Oryctolagus cuniculus: one gene and its partners. The protein of the gene in region 6 interacts with the protein of the main gene of each other region in a pairwise test. Links are inferred from orthologs where the notes say so. Each region holds a gene or a part of one and is shown on either strand. Other genes may lie near its edges. The genes, in order: FOSL1, RAB29, NRIP1, AP1M1, TNNT1, LDOC1 and PLEKHF2.

Region 1 (2,575 bases), on a different chromosome or scaffold from region 6:
GGGCTCGGGACCGGGTACCCTTCCCTTCCGACGCGACCGCAAAACTGAGGTGGCCGACTCCCCTACCCACTCGAGTTTGGGGTGGGAATGCGGGACTCTCTCCCCTCCCCCAGTCCAGTGCCGGGACAGACCGGGATCCGGCCCCTGAAGTGGCTCCTGCTCCCTTCCTGTGCAAGACAATGGGGCAGGAAGCAGGTGTTGGGGGCCTAGAACCCACTTGGCCGCGTCTTGAGGATGGACGCGGGGGTGGGGTGGGGGTGGAAGAGTGCCTCCCCCGTGGCACATGCGCCAGCTCTGTTGGCTCCCAGGGGAGAGGGACCGATAACCCCCCCACCTTCACCCCGGAGCACCCCGTTCTCTCCGTGCTGGCAATGAGGCGCCGGCGTCAGATAAGACAGGATCCAGAAGTATCAATTTGTCCAAGGTCACGGGGCCAGTCTGTGGGGCGGAGACCCACACCCAGGGCTGGCGACTCTGGGCCCAAGGACACACCCCCCAGACCAGAGCTTCAAGCCTTTTATTCCATGTTGGCAGGTTTGTATAAAAATACTCTCTTCTGGAAAATAAATAGCAGCTGCCCCTCCCTCTGGAGGCCTGGATTCCCTGGGGGCTAAAGGCTTCTCAGAGGGGGGCTACAGGTGAGCTCGTCACAGAAGCCCGTGGTACACACCTCGTGGACTGTGCGGGCCGGAGGGGTCGGCCCGTGGCCGTGCGCTGCTGGCAGTGGGGCTGGTGAGTTAGTGTTGTAGGCTGGGAGACAGGCTCCCTGGACAGTGTGGGGGGTGGGTGTGGGCTCCACAGGGCCCCTAGGGGGTCATACAAAGTCTCTCTGGGTTTTTCTGACAGATGGGAGATGTTTGGTCTGAGATTTGGTGCAAATGTGCTCGGTTTCACCTGGGGGGATGGAGAAGCGCGGCGAGGGCCGGGCGGTCCAGGCCAGCTGGACCTGGGAACGGGGCGGGGGCTGGCGGGGGAGGAGATGCCTTCTGGGGTGGCGCCTTGCAGGAGGGGGGCTGGGCTGCCTCACAAGGCCAGGAGGGTTGGGGAGCCCAGGGGGTCTGAGGAGGGATCCCCACTGCTGCTGCTGCTTTTGCGATGGGCGGAGGAGCAGGGCTCAGGGGTGCTGGGGTAGGTGAAGACCAGGCTGGGGGTGAAGGGAGTGAGGGAGGGCGTGGTCATGAGCGTGGGGGTGTGCAGTGCCTCGGGCTCCAGCACGGGCCCCGGGGAGAGGGAGATGCAAGGGACTGGGCGGCAGGGGGCGGGCGGGCTGCTGGTGCCGCCGGAGCCGCCTGGGTCGCCGCTGTCCTGGGCTGCTTCTGGGATTTTGCAGATGGGGCGGTGGGCTTCCAGCACCAGCTCCAGGCGCTCTTTCTGCTTCTGCAGCTCCTCAATCTCCCGCTGCAGCGCGGACTTCTCGTCCTCCAGCTTGTCCGTCTCCTGGAGAGGTGGCAAAGGGGAGTAGGGAGGGTGAGGGCGGAAGGCCCCGTGGCCCCCGCCGGGGTGGGGCGTCTCCAGCACGGCTGGACTGCAACTCCCGTGAGCCCCTGGGAAAACATGGGCACAACTCCCATGAGGCCTGGGGTGGCTCAGACAGGCTGCTGGCTGGACTTGGGCTCAGTGCTGCTTCTCCCAGGACTGTCCCGGGAGAGGGACAGCCAGGGTGCCCATGAGGCTCAGGGGGACCCTGGGTGCCCCCACAGGGGTCAGCGCTCACCGCCTGCAGGAAGTCGGTCAGTTCCTTCCTCCTGTTCCTGCACTTGGCCGCGGCCAGCTTGTTCCGCTCCCGCCTCACTCGGCGACGCTCCTCTTCCTCTGGGCTGATCTGGGGGGTCGGGGGGGAGGCGGCAGTGAGACAGACCCCGGGTCACTGCTGTGACCTTGCCCCCTCCAGGGGTAAGCCCCTGGCCATGTGGAGCCCCCCCACCCCGGTCTGTGATTTGAAGACCACTGCACCCACACTGGTTCCCCGTACTCGGGTGCTGCGTAGCAATGGCCAATTCCCACCTCTGCCCTAGCTCTAGTGCTCACTCCTGCTCCCACAAACCTCAGCTTCCAGGGCTCAGCTGGGCGCCCCGGGCTACAGGACACCTTCCTGCCCCCATTCCCTGGGGTGGGCTTTTCCCTTTGCAAGGGGCACCCATCCTTCTGTGTTCAGACTGCCACGTCTGTCCCCCAGGATCTGGAGTGCTGGAGGGGCTGAGCACCCACGGAAGTCGCAGCTTCGGGGGGACCTGACCTCTGTGCAGCTCAGCCCCGCCTTCCAGGTCAGGACTTGAAGCCCGGGGGCCGAAGGGGGCGGGGAGACATGACTTGCGTACGGTTCCAGCCACTGGGTGAGAGGCCAGTGAGTGGAGACCACGCCCCCAAGAGGACCCCTGGCAGCACCAACCTGGGAGTACCTAGGACAGGGCTGAAGGAAGCGGCCACGGGAGGGGTCCGCTGGCTGGCTTCAGCCCTTCTGTCTCTGGCCACCTGTTCCTGGCTGGTCTCACACCTTTCTCAGGACCCTGAGCTCCACCCCGGCTGCAGCGCGAGCTTTGCCGGGACAGCCCTCTCTCCACCGTGGTCCCATGTA
Region 2 (3,465 bases), on a different chromosome or scaffold from region 6:
AAGCAAAAAGATACATGGGGAGAGAGAGAGAGTGTCTGTGTGTGTTCCCCTTCACTGGTTCACTCCCCACTGCCAACAACAGTTGGGGTTAGGCCAGGTTTAGGCTAGGAACCAGGAGCTCAATCCGGGTTTCCCAGCTGAGTCCTCACCTGCTGCCTCCCAGGGATGCATTAGCAGGAAGTGGGAGTGGGGCAGAGACGGAAATCCGGGCACTGCTATGGTATTCGGGCACCCCAAGTGACAGCTTGACCGCCAGGGGAAAAGCCTACCCCCAGAGGACATTTCAGATATGCTTGCTCTCTGACCACAGAGAAGAAATGGGAGTTACTTTCTCACACTGGCCACAGACCTTGTTGGCCAAGAGCAGGCAGGGCACGGGCTCTCCATTGGGCAGGGTGAGCTTGCTGTCCAGGTCCTGTTTCCACCTCTGGCTGTTGCTGAAGGTAGTGGCGTTGGTAACGTCAAACATGATAACACAGGCGGAGGCGTCCCGGTAGTACAGCCGCGTCATGGAGGTGAAGCGCTCCTGCCCTGGGGAGGAAGGGCCGCCCTCGAGAAGGTGACCCCACCTGCCCACCGGCCCTTTCTTGTCGGAGAGGCCTCACCCGTACGCGACACAGGAACCTTCTGACTTGCCCTCTCCCACTCCTGGTCTTCTCTCCATCCCACAGAGGGCCTACTAAACTCAGTCATCCCCAAGGCAGACTCTGCTCCCAGTCTCCCACTCCAGATCTGGACTCAGTTACTGTTATTTGTGTGACTTGCTAAGTGCTTCAGATTTCTCGTGTGTGAAGTGAAGTCAAAAGCAGTTGCTTTGGGGCTCGTGTTGTGGCACAGTGAAAGGTTAAGCTGCCACTAGGAACACTGGCATCCCAAACTGGAGTGCCAGTCTGAGTCCAGGCTGCTCAGCTTCCAGTCCAGCTCTCTGTTAGTGCTCCTGGGTAAGCAGGAGAAGATGGCCCAAGTGCTTGGACCCCTGCCATCCCTGGGGGAGACCTGGATGGAGTCCTTGGCTCCTGGCTGCAGCCTGGCCCAGCCCCGGCTGTTGCAACCATTTGGGGAGTGAACCAGTAGACGCAAGATCTCTCTCTCTCTTTCTCTGTCACTATGGCTTTCAAATAAATTAATAAATCTTTTTAGAAAATCAGCTTTTATGATAGGGTTGTTGGAATTAATGAGTCCCTGAATTAAGAAAATTTTATTCTAAAAGTTTTTACTAACATGTAACACCTGTACATTTTATTTATTTATTTATATTTATTTTGGAAGTCAGAGAGAGATCTGCTGGTTCAATCCCCAGAACGTCACAATAGCCAGCGCTGGGCCAAGCCAAAGCCAGGAGCCAGGAGCACCCACATAGGTTGCAGGGGTCCAAACACTTGGGCATCTTCCACAGCTTTTCTCAGGCCATTAGCAGGGAGCTTGACTGGAAGTGGAGCAGCCAGGACACAAACCTGCACCCATATGGGATGTTGGCATCACAGGCAGCAGCTTTACCCACTATGCCAAAATACTGGCCCCCATTTCCTGTACATTTTCATGGGGTACTATGCAGTATTTCAGCACATGTATATAGCATAAAACAATCAAATCAGGCCAGCGCCACGGCTCACTAGGCTAATCCTCCACCTGCGGCGCTGGCACCCCGGGTTCTAGTCCCGGTCAGGGCGCCGGATTCTGTCCCGGTTGCCCCTCTTCCAGGCCAGCTCTCTGCTGTGGCCCGGGAGTGCAGTGGAGGATGGCCCAAGTACTTGGGCCCTGCACCCCATGGGAGACCAGGAGAGGCACCTGGCTCCTGCCATCAGATCAGCGCGGTGCGCCAGCCGCAGCGCGCCGGCCATTGGAGGGTGAACCAACGGCAAAGGAAGACCTTTCTCTCTGTCTCTCTCTCTCACTGTCCACTCTGCCTGTCAAAAAACAACAACAACAACAAAAAAAACACTAGAATCTAGTGCTTCTTTTACTGAATATTTATTCACTTTTATTTATTTGAAAGGCAGACAGAGAAAGAGAAAAAGAGAGGAGAATCTTTCATTCCTTGGTTTACCCACAACAGCCAGGGTTGGCCAGGTCAAAGGCAGGGACCCAGAACTGAATCTGGGTCTCCCAGGTGGGTGGCAGGACCCAAGTTTTTGAGCCATCATCTGCTGTGTCCCAGGGTGCACATTAGCAGGAAGCTAGCATCAGAGGCAGAGCTGGGGTTCAAATCCAGGCATTTGGATATGGCATGTGGACGTGGTGAGGGGCATGTCTACACAGCTATGCCAAACACCGGTCCCTAGAATCTGTTATTTCTCTCTGCGTTTTGGTACCTGTTTTCCAATCTGCTTCTGTCTGCTCTCCTCCCTCCCCTGCACCCCACCAGCTGAATTTAACATCCGCAGGAAAGTGCTTGGGGCATAGTAAGGGTCCAGTATTATCATCCTGTTTTCTGGGTTCCTTGTTTCTCCTCAGAGTCAGCTGCAAACCCCTGCTATAGGAACATCCACCCCCAGTTGGGATAGTCCACCACCTTGCTAGCTCCTCCTCCTAGCCAGACGCCGCTCCAGGTCCATCCCGGGCAGAACATCTGCCCAAGCTCCCCCTCCTCTCGGCTCCTTTCCTCCGAGCAGCCCAATCAGATAAAACCTTTCTGGTCTCGCCGGCCCGCTTCTTTTCTAAGCACTTATTGGTGAGGTCACAGGCCTTCGCTTGTTCCTAGCCGGCCTTCCCAGCTCACCTGCAATGTCCCACAGCTGCAGCCGCACCACCTCCGAGTCGGACCACTGCAGCACCTTCAGCGCGAAGTCCACTGAAACACAGGTAGGTCGTATTTTAACAGAATTTACTTTTATTTTAAAAAGATTTTTATTTACTTATTGCATCTACTTGAATGCACAGTGAACAAGCGAGCAAACGAGATCTTTCATTCACTGGTTCTATTCTCAAATGCCTGCAGCAGCCTGGGCTGGGCCAGGCTGAAGCCAGGAGCCAGGAGCTCCATCAGGGTATCCCACATACGTGGCAAGGGCCCAAGCTCTTGGGCCATCATCTGCTGCCTTCTAGGGAGTGCATTAGCAGGAAGCATAGCAGTCAGGCCTTGACCGAGACACTCCATCACGGGGTGCGGGCATCCCAGGCCGGGGTTTAACAGGCTGGGCCACAATCACCCTTCCCTGAAAATTAAAAAAAACAAAAACGACAAAACAAAAAAACCACAGGGATACACTCATATCCGAGAAGCAGTTACAACCCTGGGGACACACAATTCCAAAGCCATTCGTTTGTTTATTTTTAAGCCCTCAGTAGGTCTGAATGAGCTCAGCCTGGCATATTAAGTGGGGGACAGGGAATTCCTATTCTCCAAAGGGGTGCCCGACTTTTGCTCTCCCGCCCACACAATCCATGTGACTCCAAGGCCAGGCGCAAAAGGGCAGCAGTGATTGTGAGACCAGCCCCCCTCTCTCCGTTGAGCAGTTCCTGGGA
Region 3 (3,500 bases), on a different chromosome or scaffold from region 6:
CTGTTCAAAGAAAAGCCATTTTACTTCTGTTATAAACAATTTCTTAAATATTCAACTATTCAGGAAACCACCTGAACGCAAATGTTAACTTCCCTAATTCTGTAAAAGGAGGAGTAATAATTTAGTAAAGTAGTTAAAATACAAAAATGGAAATCTGTCCTTTTTTATAAGGATCTATCAAACTTCCCTCAATTGTAATCAATTTTTACTAAGTAGTACAAGGTTTAAAGAAATATGTATTGAAAAGGACTGGGGCGGGCAGACATACTGGGAATCAAAAAACCCCTTCCAAGAGTTAAAAACAAATATGTCTTTTAGCAAAAGTGAAAAATGTTAAGTATATAGTTTTTCTGATTTATTGGATAATTTATTACTGGATAATGAGATGTGAATCAGAACTAAAATTTTAATTTGATATTATTCCCTAAGAGTTATTTAAGAGTTTGGATTTTTAAAAAAACGTGTAGGCTGACTTCTGAAAAGCAAAATGAAACACCGTATTCAAGGCATCAAAATGCAGTAATCCACTATGGATGGAGTTTTACATTTTAACTTATGCCTCTTATTTATGATTATAAAATAATTTCATTCATAGGCTACTCACAGTTGTTATCTGATGCATACAGAAGTGTGAAACAACCAATTGCTAAGTTCAGTAGTTTCCTCATGACATCTAATGTTAAGCAAAAATTAGTATGCATATTTAAACATCACCAGTAACCAATACTTCTCAAAATAAAAAAAAGTTTCAATTATACCATGCTTTTCTCAAATCATGCTCTTATTTATACAGATCTCAAGTTCATACTAATTAGTTTTAAAGTGATCCAAAGCTGACTGGTAGGTACATTTCATTCGGATTCTTTTTTTATTGTTAGCATGTTTCCCAGAAGTCCGTAAACATCTCCATTTGCACTGTGTGGGCGAGAAGCATTATTTCCCATATGGCTGTTGTAAGGGCTTCGTAAGTTGATAAAAGCAGCCTTAGGTTCTGCAGCAGGGAGTAACTCTTCTTTGACTGGAACCTGTGAGACACTTTCAGAAGAAGGTTCCCTCCAAATGTCCTTATCCTGCGTTTCTCGACTGGTAACAGAAGTGCCTCCTTTCTGGAGCATGTAATACAAGATTGGGTTAGTTTTGGTCAGTCTTGGAGAGTCTTTTTCATACTCACTCTTATCTACATCTGTGATAACCCACTTAATGGGTCCCTTCTCACTGGGCCCGGGACAGCCACTCAAAGGCCCAGTTTCTGGCCGAGAACCCGCACAGCTCATGTGCTCAGAGAAAGGTGGAGTCACAGGAGTTTTTACTACTCCTGGGTATGAAAATGTCCTGTTATCCACGCAACTACTGGGCTGACTGGAACTGTACATCAGTCCATTTAAAGAAGAAATGCTGAATTCAGGTTTGCTACTGGTCACATTATTTTTGTGTCCTTTTCTTTTACTGTCAACGACAGAGTTACTCCTGTGTGGGGACAAATCCCGCACACAGTTTTCTGAGAGAAGGAGCTGTTTCAGAACATTGAAACTTTTGCTCTCTCGGGCCCAACTCCTATGTTCATTTTCATTGGCTGAACCAGAACCAGCAGGATATTTAAATTCAAGGTCATTTCTGCTAAATTTCAGCTCTTCCTGGTTAATCAAAGACCCATACAGTACTTCTGGAGCGCTGTGATTGTTTGCAGCATCAACAATGTTATTTTTCATCTTTTTAAATGGATTTTCTAATGGCTCAGAATAAAGCTTCCTTTTCTTAGGGACCATACAAAGATTCTTTGATTCCAGAAGCGTTAGTTCGCTGCTTCTGTAGCTCTTGTCCGGGTCATCTGCCAGGTAACTCTCATGGTTTTGTCTCAGCAACCGACTTAACAAACCATTCTTCGAGAAAGAAAAATCCTGAGGTGAAACTGGCTCCGATTTCAAGTCCTCGGATGCTGGTAAGGCAGCTGCGTTTCTCTGCATGGTAGGAGCCGTACCCAGTAGTGGGGCACTCTTAGTATCATGGTTCAAGTGCAGATTTGTGTTGTGAATATGTAAGTCATCACAAGGCTCAGATTTTATTTTCACCATCAGTATTTGTTCACTTAAAGCTCTCTCGCTGTGTCCCTGAGTACTTTCATCTCTTATAGGAATCTTCTCTTTTTTTTCACTCTTACCTTTGTTGGTATTTCCCAGGAGCAACTGGAGGACAGTGCGTCTTTCAAGCAGATTTTCTATTTCAGAACTAGAAAGTCCTGGCTCAGGAGCTGCTGACTGACTACTGAATGCCTTACTGTCTTCAGCTGCATTTGTTTTATTTGCGAGCAGAGGGCTATTTAATCTCTCCATCATACCTAGCGGTTTGTCTGGGTTTACACTTAGCAGCTGTTTGCTGGGGCGCTGCTCGTCCGCTGACACGGAAGACTGCATCCCACACTGCGCTAGATTCTGTAACAGCTTACTGGCACTGAAAGTGGCAGAGTTTGGTGCACCTTCATTTTGGGCTGGTTTCTCTCCTTGTGATTCTTTGCTTTTTGTCAGGTCCATCAAGTGGTTAGATGCAGCATTCATTAGCTTTTCAGACTGAGTACTGCAGGCATATGGTGTGGAATTCCATTTGATGACCAGGGAGTTCTGAGAAAGATTGATGGGAGAATCTGCTTTGGTGGATGCAAGTAATGGTGGAGTGCTCACTGGAGTAGTCCTATTTGTACTGGGGCTTTCTATTACAGAAGTCCTTGTATAATTTTGTGGACTGAACTTTGTCACATCACTGTGTACTCCCTGAGTGCTGGTGGTCTTTTCTACATTTTCTTCATTCTTATGGCCAAGTAGCAACTGAAGAAGGGTTACTTTCTGGTGTGAATTTAGCTTGGAATTCTTTGAGGTGTCTTGATCTTCTTTGATATCCACCTCTGGGACTTTTGGATCCCAGGTGTTGAGCAAGGACTGAGTTAAGTTATCTAGAGAAACAGGTTGGTCAGATTCCACTTTTTCGATTCGGTGTTTGCAAGACAAATCTATGGGAACACAGTTAGAATAAGAACTTTCATCACCGCTACTGTCATCTGTAAAACTAGGATTGTTGTCTGAATATTCATCAATAGTTGTAGGTGTACTGCTATCCTCAAAAATGCTTCCTCTCTCACTATGACTATGTCCATTCATAGGCTTAGGTATGGTCTGGCTTTTAAGAAGGTGTAAAAGCAAACTATTATTGGCAGCTTGTTTTAGACTGTTTCTTTCCAGTGAGTTCTTATAGCCTGCATTTTTGGGGGAAGAAGGAACAATACCCATTGGATTTTGAAATGCTGTAGCATTACTTTTGCTAGTCATTAGTTTGCTTGACGATGTTCTTGCCTGACCGTTAAGATGGGTTGGCATTCCTTTCGAGAGCTGGAAACCACCAACATCCTTCTGGCCATTTTCTTGCAATCTGGCCATCGCAGCGAGTCTTTCACTTGCCACTTGATTTGCATTTTGTGTTTTTAAAGCATGTTCTCGAGAATACTGCTGCAA
Region 4 (4,272 bases), on a different chromosome or scaffold from region 6:
GCACCTCCTCCAGGAAGTCCTCCCTGCCTGTCCCCTCTGCCAGGCTATACACACATCTGTGTCCTCATTTGTCTGAGGTTCCCTGAGAACAGCGGCTGCTCTGGGGTCTCTCACAGCTGTGCCCCAGCACCCAGGACACAGCCTGGCCCGCGGCGGGTGCCCAGGAAACATCTGTGCAGCGGCCATGTGGGTGGGGAGGAGAAGGCCAGAGTAACACCGGGGCTCCAGCGTGGACACAGAAGGGACAGCAAGTCTGGGCATGGCAGGGACCACTCAGCACCCTGGAGGCCAGTGGCTCTCCAGATAAGCTGTCTGGATGTGGGCCTGGGAAGAGGGGCACTGTGGGGAGACACGACTGGGCCCCACCCCCTCGGAACCCAACAGTCAACGGGCGAGAGCAGAAGAGGCGGGAAGGGGCTCTGGGCCGCAGGTGGACAGGTGCCCGGGGAGAGCTTCTGCCCACCCACGGGGCGCCCGCGGCTGGCACGGATTGCTCAAGGCGCTGTTGCCTTACTTCTGAGCAAACACTTCAGTGCAGGAGGCAGACTTTCGAAACCTCTGATATGGGGCGTCCCGGCTGCGGAGGGCTGGCGGGGGTGTGTGTGTGTGTGTGTGTGTGTGTGTGCGTCCCGCCCTGCGGCCCACCGGACGCCTCCTTTCCACCTGCCGCCTGGTCACCTCGTTCAGCCCACTGGGGCACCCGCCTCCCCCTTCCCCAGCTGCACTGCCAGGACCTTGTCCCGGGCCTGTGGGGCCGGTATCTCCTGACCTCACCACGCCAGCCCTGTCAAAGCCTCTGGGGAGGGAAAGGCGAGGCCCAGAGAGGGAAGCGCCTCCTCCCCAGTGCTCCCCTGCACAGGGTGGCAGAGCTGAGCCCCCATGGGGCCTGAGCTTCCCCGGGCACTGTGCACAGCCGCGGCCAGCGGCAGCACTGTGGCCACCCTGTGCCTGGCCCGTGGCCACCCTGTACCTGGCCACAGGCTGGGGTCGCGCGAGAGGCTCCGACACGTTGGCGGAAGGAGCCGGGCAGCTTCGGGGAAGTCGTCTTTCCCGCTTCCCGGGTCTGGCCGGGCTCAGAAGCCCTGCAGGCGGCCTCGTGAGCTGCAGCTCTTGGGTGGCTTCCAAAGCAAGCAGAGGGCCAGGGACTTGGGGAGGGCGCCGGGTGGAGCAGGAAGGGGCGGCCGCGCTCACCTGCTCCCGGGCTCAGGCGGCACCCGCGCCTCTCCCAGTTCTGGCTCCCATGTGGGGAGGTGGCCTGGCCAGCGCTGCTCTCACAGGCCCCTGGGAAACATGCCTGGGTCTCGGCCACACCTGGCCCCTCCCCCAGGGAAGCCCCTGCCGCCCTGATGAGGGGGCTTCTCAGAGGTCACGGGCAATGGAATCAGGGCTGGGGCCGGCGCAGTGGCAGAGCGGGTAAAACCGCCGCCTGCAGCACTGCCATCCCATATGAGGGCCGGTTCTAGTCCCAGCTGCTCCTCTTCCCATCCAGCTCTCTGCTCTGGCCTGGGAAAGCAGTGGAAGATGGGCCAAGTGCTTGGGCCCCTGCACCTGCGTGGGAGACCCGGAAGTAGCTCCTGGCTCCTGGCTCTAGATCGGCACAGCTCCAGCCGATGAGGCCAACTGGGGAGTGAACCAGCGGATGGAAGACCTCTCTCTCTCTCCCTCTCTTTCTGTAACTCTGCCTTTGAAACAAATAAGTTAAAAAAAATTGGAGGCAATTTTCCCCCCGAAATCTATGCGCACGAGGGAAAAGTTTATGAGAAAAAAAAAAAAAAACCTATGCACCGATTAAAAACATTTTTTTTGCACCCAAATAAACTTTTTCTGGTTTTGTCTGCAAGGCACAGAAAGAGACAAACACAGCGATCGGCTGGTTGGCTCCCCCAGATGCCCAGAGGAAGGGCGCCTGGCGGCGGCTGCAGCTGCAAACAGAGCACCGGACCCGGGCCCGCCAGGCGCGTGGCGGGGCCCCAGCGACCCGGGCCTCCCAGGCTCTGCGTGGACGGAGGCGGGCACCGAACCCAGGACACAGGACACCTGCCCCTCCCGGCTGCTGGGCCCCCTGCAAACGCCGGGCCCACTCCGTGCCTCGGTTTCCCCACTCTGTCCACCGCCCACGCCACCTTAACCCTAACCTCACTCAGTGTCACGATGACGTCAGCGGTTCCCACGGGGTGGCGGCGCCCGGGAGAAGGCGGGACCGGCCGCGAGCGCACGCTGTCCACCACCCCCCGCCACGCCTGGCCACCTCCGGCCAAGGGTCGCGCCGTCCACCCACCCCTCCCACGCCGGGGGCCGGCTGCGGCCCGCCCTCCCCGCCGCGGAGGCCCGAGACCCCGGCCCGAATCGCCAGCGGGCACGCGGCGGTGGGGGTGGGTGGGGTGCAGGGGAGGGGCGGCGTCGCCCGTTACCTGGCAACGGCGGAGGCGGCAGCCCACCTCGCCACCTGGCAGCAGGGCGGGCCTCGCGGACTGGAGACCCCCGCCCTGCTGGGTGGGGGACCCTCGGGTGGGGCCGCCCGGCCGCCTCGCCTACCGCTGGGTGGGGTCCACGGGTCGTTTACCTAACAGGGCGAGGCCCCCGCCGGTTACTCGGCAGCGGGGAGGCTGGGTGGGGAGCGCTCAGTACCTTGCCCTTCAGGTCCAGCACGTACACAGCGCTGGCGGACATGGCGGCTGCGGGAGGCCTCGGCGGCAACCGAGGGCGGCGGCGGCGGGCACGGCCGGGCGTGGGGCGAGGCCGGGCGCGCCCGGCGACGGTTCCCCTCCACTTCCGGCCCGGAGCGCCGCGCGCGGACCGTTATGTCCGGGCTGAGGGCGAGGGGGGCGGGGCGGCCAGGTCTGCGCAGGTGCGGGAGGGCTAGGCGCAGGCGCAGTACGCCCGGGAAGACCGTATTTCTCGCTGCGCTCCTCGAGCGGCCGGAAGTGGGGCGCGGGGGGCGGGGCCGGCGGAATCGGGGCGACTCCGGCCGGCCGCGGCGCTCTGGTGAAGCCGGGCGGGTCCAGACCCGTGGAGCTCGGCCTGGCCGGGGAGCGTAGCCTACACACAGCCACCAGGGGTGACGCGTCCTAGGGCAGGGCGAAGGCGGTGCTTCTCTGTGCAGAGGTCAAGCTCTGGCCTCCCGCCTCCTCCGGCCACCTGTCAGTGTCCACGTGGGTCACCGCGCCAGCCCGCGGTTTACTGCTCGGAATGCCCTCGTGAAAAACCGCAAGCCACTGCTGGGCACGTGTGCTTTCCTGCTACATTTTTAGCGGCCCTGGTCGGGTCATAACCAACGGCGTGTCTGCATTCTTCAGCTGAAATGTTTTTAGAAAAAATTTTATTTATTTTAAAGACAGAGTTACGGGGGTGGGGGGAGGTCTTCCATCTGCTGGTTCACTCCCCAGATGGCCGCAACGGCCGGAGCAGAGCCAAATCGAAGCCAGGAGCTCCATCCGGGTTTCCCACGCAGGTGCAGGGGTCCAAGGACCTGGGCCGTCTTGTACTGCTTTCCCAGGCCACAGCAGAGAGCTGGATCAGAAATGGAGCAGCCGGGACTCGAACCGGCGCCCCTGTGTGATGCCAGCACTGCGGGCGGAGGCTTTACCTGCTGCGCCAGGTGCATCCCAGTGCTACCCGGGACACTGCTTCCTGCTGGGTCCGCGCCCTCCCGCCGTTCCCCTGAGACCCTGGTTTCGCTCCGGCCCGCCGGATGAGCAGGTGGGCTGGGTGCCTGTCAGGCGCTCCCCGCTGGGCACCCAGCCCGCGGCACAGAGGGCAGGAGTCATCTCCGGCCGCTATGGCTCAGGCAATCAGACGCCCAGACTCCTCTTCAGTGACGCTTTTGCTTTATTCTGCGGCTTTTACACAGACAGCCCCCGCCCCGGCGCGGCCCCCGGACACTGTTTTTCCCAACATCGCGGCCGCCGCATCACAGCACACGCGTGCCCACTCAGGGACCAGTGCTCCAAGGTTTCCACGGTGAGGAACGTCGCGATCGATTAGCAATGTCTGCCTTGGCACTGGACACCCATTAGAGGCGCCTGGAAGAAGAGTGCTGCGGGTGCTCCGGGCTCACCGGAAGTGATGCTACTGCTGCAGCTCACCGAAGTGGTTTCTGCTGTTCACCGGAAGTGCTGCTCCTGAACCAGCTCACCGGAAGTGCTACTTCTGTTTCAGGTGTCTGTGGCAATTCACCGGAAGTGCCGCTTCTGTTCATCTCACCGGAAGTGCTGCTTCTGTTCAATCTCACTGGAGAGGTTTCTGCTGCAGGCTCACCGGAAGTAGTGCTGC
Region 5 (4,089 bases), on a different chromosome or scaffold from region 6:
ATGGCTGGGGTGGATGATGGGCGATGGCTGGGGTGGATGATGGGCGATGGCTGGGGTGGGTGATGGGCGATGGCTGGGGTGGACGATGGCTGGGGTGGGTGATGGGCGATGGCTGGGGTGGGCCAGCGGCTCTGTCCCCGGGCGGCTTCCTCTCTGCGCACCCTCTGGCTGCTCCCTGGGGAGAGATGGGGGTCAGAGAGTCTGGGGCGGGGAGGGGGCTTCTCCAAGCCCCTCCCTCCTGCCATTGTCACTCACTCCTCATATTCCTGCTCCTCGGTGTCCGACATCCTGCTGTGACCTGCGCCAGAGAGAAGAGGTGACGGCTGTGGGGTCTGAAGGGGGAGGCCCAGGGACCCCTGGTTCTGAGGGAGGAGGTGGGGCCTGCACCCCTGGGTCTGAGGGAGAAGGCCTGGGGCCCCCGGGTCTTAGGGAGGAGGGCCTGGGGCACTCCTGTGTCTGAGGGTAGAGGGCTGGGGGATCCCCGTGTTTGAGGGAGGAGGACCGGACTGGGGGGGATCCCTGGGTCTGAGGGAGGAGGGAGGGGCGTGGACCCCTGGTCTGAGGGAGGAGGGCTGGGGGACTCCCATGTCTAATGGAGGAGGGCCTGGGGGGACCCCCGTGTCAGGGAGGAGGGCTGGGGGACTCCATGTCTGAGGGAGGAGGGCCTGGGGGGACCCCCGTGTCTGAGGGAGGAGGGCTGGGGGACTCCCATGTCTGAGGGAGGAGGGCCTGGGGGGACCCCCGTGTCTGAGGGAGGAGGGCTGGGGGACTCCCATGTCTGAGGGAGGAGGGCCTGGGGGAACCCCTGTGTCTGAGGGAGGAGTTTCTGGGGGACCCCCATGTCTGAGGGAGGAGGGGCCTGGGGGGATCCCTGTGTCTGAAGGAGGAGGGCTGGGGGACCCCCGTGTCTGAAGGAGGAGGGAACAGGGGGGACCCCCGTGTCTGAGGGAGGAGGGCTGGGGGTACCCCCATGTCTGAGGGAGGAGGGAGCTGGGGGACCCCCATGTCAGAGGGAGGAGGGCCTGGCCCCCAGAGCCTAAGCGCTGGGGACAGCAGGGCCTGGAGCTGTGGGCCTGGCAGAGCGGCAGCCCCCGCCCCCCAGCACAGCTGTCCCCTTTGTCTGAGGACAGGAACCTGATCCCCCTGGATTAGGAGGGGATCTGAGACAGGGCCTGCAGACAATAGCAGCCCCACCCCGGCAGCTATTTTGGGGGGATGTCCACAGAGGACATTTCCTAAGAAGGACTGGGGGGGCCTTCTGGGACAATGAGTCACCACCTGTCTCCTCCACTCACCTCCACATGCACACACACACACACACACACACACACCGCGTCCCTGAGACTACACACACACACACACACACCCCGTGTCCCTGAGACCCTCCACACCACACACACACACACACACACCCCGCGTCCCTGAGACCCTCCACACACACACACACACACACACACACACCGCGTCCCTGAGACCCTCCACACCACACACACACACACACACACCCCGCGTCCCTGAGACCCTACACACACACACACACACACACACCCCGCGTCCCTGAGACCCTCCACACCACACACACACACACACACCCCGCGTCCCTGAGACCCTTCACACCACACACACACACACACACCCCGCGTCCCTGAGACCCTCCACACCACACACACACACACCCCGCGTCCCTGAGACCCTCCACACCACACACACACACACACACACACCCCGCGTCCCTGAGACCCTCCACACCACACACACACACACACACACACACCCCGCGTCCCTGAGACCCTCCACACCACACACACACACACACACCCCGCGTCCCTGAGACCCTTCACACCACACACACACACACCCCGCGTCCCTGAGACCCTACACACACACACACACACACACACACCCCGTGTCCCTGAGACCCTCCACACACACACATGCACACACACACACACACCGTGTCCCTGAAACTACACACACACACACCCCGCGTCCCTGAGACCCTCCACACCACACACACACACACACACCCCGCGTCCCTGAGACCCTACACACACACACACACACGCACACCCCGCGTCCCTGAGACCCTCCTGGCCCAGGCTCAGAGCCCTTCCAGTCCCACCCCCTGGATAACCCACTTGTGGGCCCGGCTACCCCACGGCCCCACACCGTCAGGATGGGCACCCTGGGGCCCAAGCTCAGGGCTCAGCACCACACCCCGAGCTATGGCGCTACAAATGCTGAGACCCGATTCCCAAAATCCCACACTCAGACCCCTCCCCGGTCCTGATACCCCCAGAGCTGGAGACCCCCAAACCTGCCACTCAGACTATCTGACAGCCGAGCCCAGAACACCCCTCCTGAGGTCCCTGCAGACTCCGGAAGACACCCCGCATTCGGCACCCAGGCGCCCTGTGCTCTGAGCCTGCTCCTCCCAGACCCCAGCTCTCGCGCTCCGTCCAGGGCACTCCGTGGGGACGGCAGAGCCCCGTTACCTAAGGCTGGGGATGCAGACGCTGGATCCGCAGGCTGAGCCTTGCCTGGCCTGGCCTCGCTGAGGGCTCTGACGCACCCCGCGTTTATAGGGGTTTATAGCTGCAGGCTGAGCCCCGCCCCTGGGGCGCGGGGTGGGGGGGAATTCCTGAGCTCAGAGGAGGCCCAGCCCCTTCTGGCTCCAGAGTCAGGGTCCAGGCATCTCCTGGCTGCTCCAGGGCCCAGGCCTCCCCATGGGTGGTCTCTGAGCCTCTGTCTGTCCTGTGTGTGTCCCTGTCCCCGCCCCCACCCCTTTGTCTGCCACCAGGATTCCGCTCTGGTGACAAAAGGCTCTAAAACCGGGAGGCAGGTGTGGGGGGGGGGAGAGGATGGGGTGACAATGAGGCTGGCAAGCCCTCCCCCCAGTCCAGCCATGACCTTGAGAGAGCCCTGGACAGCAGGCTTCCTCCCCCCGGGGACCTGGCTGCCCTTCTCAGGGTCTCCCAGGGCTCTGTCCTTGTCCCCCTCTGGCCCCTGGGTGTGTGTCCTGTCGATGGCACTTCCGGGCGGGCCTCTGTCTGGTGCTCGGGGTCCCTGGGCGAGTCTGTGGCTGTCCATGTCCTCGTGTGTCTTTCTAGCTCCTGTCGGTCACAGGTTCCCTGGGAGTCTGTGCCCGCTGTCTTCCGTCTCTCTCTCTCCTCCTTTGCGTCTTTGGCTCAGTCCCTCTCCCGTGGGCGTCTCCGTGGGTGCTCCCCGTCGGCCTTGTCCTTGGCCTCTGCGTGCACCCCACGTGCAGCCATGAGCGCCCCTGTCGGAGGCGCAGGGCGGCCCCGCCCCCGTTCCCCCCAGTGTCCAGCACACCAGGACGCGGCCACTGCAGTTCGGAGCAGCTTTATTCAGCAGGGCGGGCCGGGCCGTGCGGGGCTCAGCCCTCGAACTTCTTCTTGCGACCCTCCATGCCGCTCAGCAGGTCGATGTTCTTGCGCCAGTCTCCCACCTCCCGGTTCTCCTGGGGGTGCGGTCAGAGGTTAGGGTCTCCTCCTGGTCCCCTCTCCCTAAGCCGCTGCGGGCAGGACCGCTCCACGCTGCCTGTCCCCTACAGTCGGCCGAGTTCTCTTAACTGCCTCTTGTCCCAGTCACACACTTCCTGTGTCATGCACTTCATGTCTGTCCCCTCATGCACTTCCTGCCTCCCCTCATGCACTTCCTGTCTGACCCCTTATGTACTTCCTGTGTCATGCACTGCCTGTCCCCTCATGCACTTCCTGTCTGACCCCTCATGCATTTCCTGTCTGTCCCCTCATGCACTTCCTGTTCCCTCATGCACTTCCTGTGTATCCTCCTCATGCACTTCCTGTCCCCCTCCTGCACTTCCTGTCCCCTCATCACTTCCTATGTCCATTATGCACTTCCTGTCCCCAATGCACTTCCTGTATCATGCACTTCCTGTGTGCCCTCCTCATGCACTTCCTGTCCCCTCATCACTTCCTGTCCCCCTCTCCTCCTCATGTACTTCCTGTCTCTGTCATGCACTTCCTGTCCCCCTCATGCACTTCCTGTCTGTCCCCTCATGCACTTCCTGCGTGTCTCCCCCATCACTTCCTGTCTCCTCATCAC
Region 6 (3,317 bases):
CAGGCAATAAGGGTTAAGGGACAGAGCTTCCCTGACAGTGTTAAGGAACCCAAAAGACAAGCAGGGCTCACACTGGGGGCTTCACAAAGTTCACTGAAAATGTACATTATTTTAGTTCCATTTTCCCATGGACTTCATGAAGCCCCTTCATGCATGTGTCCAGGTTTATACGCTTGCTGTGTCACCATGATTAGTAATAGCATCCCCTTTTACTCTCAAAAGTGTCCTGGTTTGGGATGATGAGCCACATGCTCAGCCACCCCTTACCCATGCCACCCTGGAGGCCCCAGAAGACATTCCGTTTGGGCTTTAAGCTATGCCTTGGTAAGGGAAGCATTGGAATATTTTTAAAGCCCCGTGGAAACTGTCCTCTGTAGCCTAGAGATGACAATAGGGACCACTGGGATTGAATTGGACATCAATGGGAATAGCAGGAGTCAGTGTGAGCATGGCAGATGCCAGTGATAGCACTTAACCATTAAAAGACAATCATTTCTCACTTTTTGTAGTGCTTGATATTTATTGAAAATAATGCCAACTTTTTTTTTCCAGGTAGTATTGAGGAGCTGAGCTTAGTGCGTTTTTGCTTTTTGTTTGTTTTGTTTTTAGAAACATATGTTCAACCACACACATTGGTGGGGCTGCTGCAATTATGAAAGAAAAACGACAGTTGTGCATTAGAGAAAAGAGACATCAACAATTTGGTTGCCAGGCACACCAGGTCCCCGCAGCACTCAGGCTGGGTAGAGGACCCTAGGAGTAGGTAGGGAACTAACCAGGTTGAAAAACAGCCCCTTGAGGGGCCGATGAGCTGTCCAAATCAATGTCCGAAAAGGTGTAGCCAAGTCAGAAGTCTTCTGTGTTGGTCCTTGTCTCTAAAAGCGATGATCTGTCAGAGGCTTGCAGTGGGCGATGGCGCAGTGGTAGCATGAGTCTCTGTGCAGGTGTAGGCCTGGCAGCGAGGCAGGTGGCAGCAGCAGTGTGATCTGAGCAGTTTGTAACAGGGGCCTGGCCTATAACTGGGGCTTATGACACAGTTCAGATGAGGTGGGGAGAGGTCCTGGGGCTAGGCAAATCAGATGACCGGCTTCAGGGTGAGGCCCCTGCCCAGCCCCAGCAGCAGGTAGCTGGAGCACTACTCCTGGAACAAAGACAAGCACTTCGGGGGTTGGGGAGGGGAGAACAGGAAGGCAAGGGGAGTGCAGCAGCTCCGGAGGTCGGGTGGGATGGGGTGGGGGTGGAGGAGAGGGAGAAGTGGCTGCGTGCAGGGCTCTCCCCTCATAGGCCCCCAGCGGCTCGGGGCCTAGTAATCATCCTCTTCATAGTCGTCGTCGTCGTCTTCGTCATCATCCCAGCCGAAACACTGCTTCATCTCATCCAGGAAGGCCCGGTAATCGCCTAGGATGGGGCTATCCATCTCGATGTAGGGCACCACCCACTCCTCGGCTTCCCCGGTCAGGAGGCTGATTAGGAATGCCACCTTCATGGCGTCGTTGCAGAACCGGTTCTCGTTCACGAGCATGTAAGACGCCGTCTGCACAATAAACTCGGGGAGCCGGGAGCTCTCGCCGTTAAACGTTTCAGGGAAGGGCACCGGGCAGCTCGGCGGACGTACCTGGCGCAGCAGGCTGGCCCTCTCGCAAACCAGCAGCCGCAGCTGTTCCATGAGCTGGCTGTTCTCGATGCTCAGGGCGCGGTGCCTCACCAGCAGTGCGTGCAGCAGTAACACAAGCTCGTCCACCATCTCGAACAGCTTGAAAGGTCTGGGCTCGCTCGAGTAGGCTCCGCTGGGCCAAGATGCACACAAGAGGCCTTGCAGGAAGTGCGTGTCCTATAAAGTGCTGTGGCCAGGGGCGGGGGACGGCGAGCGTGGGGTCCCGGCGGCTGCGCAAGCTCCGCCCCCGAGGCCACTCAGGCAGGCGGCGCGCCGGCGCAGCAAGGTGCGGGCGGGGCCGGGGAAGAGGCCAGGACGCAGTGGGGGCGTGGCCTGGCTGCCGCGAACCGTTGGAGGGGACTTGAGACCAGGGAGGGAGTGGCCGGGGAGGGAAGCGCAGGGTCGCGCAGTGTCGCGGAGAGCAGACAAGTGCTGGCTCGCTAGGAGAACTGGTAAAGGCTGTGAAATGGGGCCGAGCCCCGGATGTGAGGCCTGCGTTAGCCTAGGGCCTGGCGGGCACTGAGCGCCATGTCGCAGACAGCCGACTCGCACAATTCACTGTTTCGCGGGTCTGCAAACGCCAGTTTCTTGGGTGCGATGTTTTGTTGATAGGATTAATCGCCTTTTCAAACCTCCCCTAGAGAAGTACTGACGCTGCTGACTGCCCTGCTGCAATCACCGATCCTTTCAGAGTCATAAAGACTCTTAAGGGGTCCGGGCTTTCGTCGCAAAGCGGTATTTGAACAGGGACTTTTATTTAGAAACCATTACTAAGTGTTGAAAAAATTCTGAATAGAGGCTTATAACAAGTTCTGCAAAGTCACCATCTGATAAGCGCTTAAGGTGACCTCCCTGTGTGGCTCTGTTTCACGTCCTGATATCAGAGCCTGTGGCAATGGTTGTTATTCTTAACAATGAGGAAACCATGAAGACATTTGTGCTCTTTAATGTTTTTTTCTATTTGAATGTGAATATTCAAATAGTTTTTGACAACGAATGCAGCCCTCTTTGTCACTTCTACCATTGCCAGACCGCTAAAAGCAATCACTTTTAGCTTGCTTTCTTCTCTTCCTACACTCTGTTCTCTATAGAGTAGCTGTGGGAATCCTTTAGCGCAGAAGTCAGATCCCTTCCCTCCCTGGCTCAAAACCCTCCAATAGTTTCCCCTGTCACTTAGAATAAAAAACAAAGTCTTGACCATGCCCTATAAGGAAGGCCCTGCCTACTCTCCTAGGTCTCCCATTCCCAGTTCTGCTCTAATCACACCCCACCCCCTGCTGATTCTTACACATATCAGCTAATTCCAGCCTCAAGGCCTTTGTACTTTTTATCCCTCTGAATTGCAAAGCTCTTCCCAGTTAGAGGCCTGGCTCCTCCCCTTACATTCCTACAGAACTTTCCTGAGCACTCCGGTTCTCAGAGCGCCCTGTTCTGTGCCACCCAGTCTCTAACCCCTTACCTTATATGTTTCAATACAGAACATTTATCATCATAATCCTGGCCAGCACATTGTAGAGCACTTTGTTCATCATCTGCCTCCACTGTAGAATGTAAGTTGGTGCAGAGAGAGGCTTTGTTTGCTAGCTGCTTTATCTCTAGTGCCTAGAAGCCAGCCTGGCCCAGAGAAAGGTCTCCATTAATGTTTGGTGAATGATAGCATCTC
Region 7 (3,500 bases), on a different chromosome or scaffold from region 6:
TCTATAAAATAAAAAAATGTAATCACAACTACTTTATAGAAAAACATTCATTTAGTATGAAGATACTTCTAAACTGTTATTTGTAGCTGTCAGATGAGAAGTATTCTTAACTGAACTCATTCATAAACACTTATTATATTACCTCAAAGAGCACCAGTGTGTTTTTTAAACAAATCTAAAAGTGAGAAAGTAGGGGCTTATTGTTCATGTAACAGTGCTATTAAGATAAGGCACGACTGGGTATACGAAAACGCCAAAGTATTTCCAAATCATGTATTTTTGCTACCGATGTTTGAACCACTAGGTAAAGTGGTTAGAAAAAAGCTAATATTATTAAACACATTATACTCTTTTCTCCATCATTCTGTGCTTTTAGCTTTTCCATATAACAGAAAAACATACTACATGATCTGTTAAATAAGCATCTTTTCCCAACCTTCCAAGAAAATAATCTAGAAATAAACAACAGTAAGAAATTCAAAATGTGTCTGCTATATTTGCAAGTCTATCCCTGTAGAAGACTGTGGGAGGGGAAGAAGGCAGGAGGGACTTACTTTCTATAGAATACATTGAGGCACATAGGTTCAAAGTTTCTCAGGCAAATTCATGGCTAGAGCAAAATTGAGAGAGCTCAGAATTTTACATTTTCCACAAAGCTGATTTCCCAAATAGCCACACCCAATTAAATATTTCAAAATGTGTCCTTAGTCACTGCTATCATCATCGTCATCATCATCAGATACATCATTTAAAGGAGACTTCAATGACTGACTGTAAGAGTCCGAGCTGGCAGGCTGGCATGTGGCCATGTCCCCAGTAGAAAGCAGGTCATAGCAGAAGTCACAAATCCGCACAGGCTTAGAGGACTGGCTGGGAAGAAGAAACCTCTTTTCAGAGCAGGGCCCACAGACAACAAAACCACACTTGCGGCAATGGTGACGACGATTAACAGGTGTGAATTTTGCTTTCTGACAACGCATACATACAGTTGCCTCAGAGTCAGGAACCCAAACAGCAGCATGTTCATTACTGGGTGTCTTCCCGCTTTTGGAGAGTAAATCAGTAACACATTTATTTATATGATTCATCCATTCTGACTTCTCAGTGGCAGTGGCAGCATAAACTGCAAATGATTTAGTTGGTGTTTTGATAAGCCACCCATTCCTTAAGTCCCCCTCATCTTTGATGGAATCAATAGTGACATTTTCCAGGGGAATAATGTGTTGTTTGTTATATTTTTTCTTCTGAATGACAATATTTCCATATACAAGAATATCATTAAATAGGAAAAACTGCCTTGCTTTAGGCTTTTTTCTACACAATTTAGTCAATACTCCTTCTCCAATAAGGACTCGTCCAGGTATAGTTAAGGGTTGACCAGCAGCTCCAAAACAGTTTTCCACTATGCTTATACGCCTTGTATTTGCTTCACTGTTTGCCAAGCGATCCACCATCTTCTGCTAATAGCCTTTAGAAAAAGAAAGAAAAATAAATTAGCTCACAGAAAGTATATATTCTAAAGGCTAATGAGTTACATAAATTTAATCTAACAATGCATTACTTTCATGCAAAAGTAAAATGCACAAATTCTGTACCTCAAAGATAATCAAGAAGCATACCTAAAGGGCTAGTATCTCTCAACTTTATGAATATCAAAACACTTTATTTCCATACAGCATCACACTAGATCAGCAGGTATTTATAAAAGCACAGATTTCTTACAGACATAAAAGAATGAAAACAAAATGGACAGTTAATATTTTAAGTCACCCCTGCAAAATAACAGGTTCAGCTACATGAAATTTAATCTCAGTGGGATTAAATAACTATTAAATATTAAATAAACTAAGAAAAATGAAGGGCCAGTGCTGTGGTACAACAGGTTAACGCCCTGGCCTGAAGTGCCGGTATCCCATATGGGTGCTGGTTCGAGTTCCAGCTGCTCGCTTCAAATCCAGCTCTCTGCTATGGCCTGGGAAAGCAGTAGAAGATGGCCCAAATCCTTGGGCCCCTGCACCCACTTGGGAGACCCTGAAGAAGCTCCTGGCTCCTGGCTTTGGATTGGCACAGCTCTGGCCATTGCAGCCAATTGGGGAGTGAACCAGCAGATGGAAGACCTCTCTCTCTCTCTGCCTCTCCTCTCTGTGTAACTCTGACTTTCAAAAAAATAAATAAATCTTTAAAAAAAAGGAGAGGGGAGGGGAGGGGAGGGGAGGGGAAAAAAGAAAAATGACTGCCATTTTCCCAGCCAGCTATTAGCACTGAGCCAAGACCAATTCTCTTAACTGATTCAGTGGAACTGTTTCAGTCTTGTCCCTTAAATCAATCTTTAGACAATGATCTTTAAAATGTTAGTGTGACCCTGTCGTTGTTTAAAATGTTTCCTTCTAGCCTGTAAAACACATGCATTTTGGTGTGGTGTTTACAGGACTTCCTTACCTGGTTTTTGCTTATTGCCTCGGCATCACCGTAAGTCACACCTCCCCTCAAATGCTGAATACCCTGTTACTTACAGTACATCTCACTGTTGTTTATTTTACTACTTACTATTACTTAAGCTAAATCTTATTTACACTTCAAGACCTGGTTTAAATTATCATCTCTCCAAGAAGTATTTCTTAAACTCCCAAACTAGACTACAAAAATTTTCCTCCGTACTTGACATATTCCATTTATCTTCTAGCTTTACTTTTACCAAAGGATTAAAATCTCTCCTCCACAGAGGAAGAACGTAAAAGGCAGAAATAGTTTGAAATAAACCTTTGAAACTGATGTGGTATATATAACATGGCAAAGGTACTTCAAAATGTTAAGAACATTTTAATGATCTGAAAAAAGTCAGACAAATTTAATATCATAAATTTATCACTGGATCCAATATTGATCTCACTTGAGTCCCAGGGTTTTGTCCTATTTCAGACTTACTAATACCACCACCATACAACCAACTCACATTAAAGAAGAATAAAGTTTGAGTAGAACATTTAAATCTAAAGTCAAAGTTCCCGATGAGAACTTTGATGAGACAGTAATCCTTCTTGGCCTCCATTATAAGAGATAGGTTGCGGTTATTCCTTAATTCTGTCTCTTCCCCAATCTTAGGTCTTTATAAAGTCCCCTTGTTCTCCACAAAGGCGGGCTCTAGCAGCCCTGAAAGTTGTTCCCAAGGATTAATTTGATAATGTAGGGCTCCAAACTCTGAGGGCTTCTTTTTTGAATCAGGGCTATCTAATCTGTCAGTCAATAGTGTGCAATAGCACACCACAGAAAAGGAAATAAAAACAGCTTACAAACATGAAAATAAGCTTGACAATTCATAATTAAAGACAAGATATTTAAAATACTACAATATTTTTCACTTATCATATTAACAAAATCCTAACAGTTCTTCAACAGGCTGTACTTGTGAGGGTATAGGGAAACAGATAACCCTGGTACACTTCAATCTATGAATTTCACTAAGTGCATGAATGTATGTACAAGGATATTCAACACAGCAT

What was found.
Region 1: the proteins of LDOC1 (region 6) and FOSL1 interact in binary tests that used the Homo sapiens proteins (3 or more experiments, as listed by UniProt). The two-hybrid records come from large-scale screens. The link is inferred for Oryctolagus cuniculus from reciprocal best matches to the Homo sapiens genes LDOC1 and FOSL1.
Region 2: the proteins of LDOC1 (region 6) and RAB29 interact in binary tests that used the Homo sapiens proteins (3 or more experiments, as listed by UniProt). The two-hybrid records come from large-scale screens. The link is inferred for Oryctolagus cuniculus from reciprocal best matches to the Homo sapiens genes LDOC1 and RAB29.
Region 3: the proteins of LDOC1 (region 6) and NRIP1 interact in binary tests that used the Homo sapiens proteins (3 or more experiments, as listed by UniProt). The two-hybrid records come from large-scale screens. The link is inferred for Oryctolagus cuniculus from reciprocal best matches to the Homo sapiens genes LDOC1 and NRIP1.
Region 4: the proteins of LDOC1 (region 6) and AP1M1 interact in binary tests that used the Homo sapiens proteins (3 or more experiments, as listed by UniProt). The two-hybrid records come from large-scale screens. The link is inferred for Oryctolagus cuniculus from reciprocal best matches to the Homo sapiens genes LDOC1 and AP1M1.
Region 5: the proteins of LDOC1 (region 6) and TNNT1 interact in binary tests that used the Homo sapiens proteins (3 or more experiments, as listed by UniProt). The two-hybrid records come from large-scale screens. The link is inferred for Oryctolagus cuniculus from reciprocal best matches to the Homo sapiens genes LDOC1 and TNNT1.
Region 7: the proteins of LDOC1 (region 6) and PLEKHF2 interact in binary tests that used the Homo sapiens proteins (3 or more experiments, as listed by UniProt). The two-hybrid records come from large-scale screens. The link is inferred for Oryctolagus cuniculus from reciprocal best matches to the Homo sapiens genes LDOC1 and PLEKHF2.

What each region holds. Positions count from the first base shown.
Region 1 is NC_091432.1:5,879,230-5,881,804, reverse strand, and holds the end of FOSL1 (fos-related antigen 1), read right to left. Parts: intron 1,823-2,575; coding exon 1,715-1,822; intron 1,438-1,714; coding exon 1,024-1,437; 3' UTR 501-1,023; downstream 1-500.
Region 2 is NC_091444.1:21,088,742-21,092,206, forward strand, and holds part of RAB29 (ras-related protein Rab-7L1), read right to left. Parts: intron 2,792-3,465; coding exon 2,720-2,791; intron 532-2,719; coding exon 350-531; intron 1-349. UniProt on the Homo sapiens protein: The small GTPases Rab are key regulators in vesicle trafficking. Essential for maintaining the integrity of the endosome-trans-Golgi network structure.
Region 3 is NC_091435.1:32,174,371-32,177,870, reverse strand, and holds part of NRIP1 (nuclear receptor-interacting protein 1), read right to left. Parts: coding exon 852-3,500; 3' UTR 1-851. UniProt on the Homo sapiens protein: Modulates transcriptional activation by steroid receptors such as NR3C1, NR3C2 and ESR1. Also modulates transcriptional repression by nuclear hormone receptors.
Region 4 is NC_091447.1:64,728,466-64,732,737, reverse strand, and holds the start of AP1M1 (AP-1 complex subunit mu-1), read right to left. Parts: upstream 2,801-4,272; 5' UTR 2,671-2,800; coding exon 2,629-2,670; intron 1-2,628. UniProt on the Homo sapiens protein: Subunit of clathrin-associated adaptor protein complex 1 that plays a role in protein sorting in the trans-Golgi network (TGN) and endosomes.
Region 5 is NC_091449.1:3,705,175-3,709,263, reverse strand, and holds the start of TNNT1 (troponin T, slow skeletal muscle), read right to left. Parts: upstream 2,801-4,089; 5' UTR 2,496-2,800; exon of another isoform or gene 2,404-2,495; intron 1,083-2,403; exon of another isoform or gene 666-1,082; intron 605-665; exon of another isoform or gene 299-604; 5' UTR 288-298; coding exon 256-287; coding exon of another isoform or gene 252-255; exon of another isoform or gene 246-251; coding exon of another isoform or gene 220-245; exon of another isoform or gene 209-219; intron 176-208; coding exon 162-175; intron 1-161. Other genes in the region: TNNI3 (troponin I, cardiac muscle), read right to left, coding at 3,398-3,481. UniProt on the Homo sapiens protein: Troponin T is the tropomyosin-binding subunit of troponin, the thin filament regulatory complex which confers calcium-sensitivity to striated muscle actomyosin ATPase activity.
Region 6 is NC_091453.1:119,608,682-119,611,998, reverse strand, and holds LDOC1 (protein LDOC1), read right to left. Parts: upstream 2,109-3,317; 5' UTR 1,745-2,108; coding exon 1,304-1,744; 3' UTR 501-1,303; downstream 1-500. UniProt on the Homo sapiens protein: May have an important role in the development and/or progression of some cancers.
Region 7 is NC_091437.1:120,560,765-120,564,264, reverse strand, and holds part of PLEKHF2 (pleckstrin homology domain-containing family F member 2), read right to left. Parts: intron 1,469-3,500; 5' UTR 1,455-1,468; coding exon 705-1,454; 3' UTR 1-704. UniProt on the Homo sapiens protein: May play a role in early endosome fusion upstream of RAB5, hence regulating receptor trafficking and fluid-phase transport. Enhances cellular sensitivity to TNF-induced apoptosis.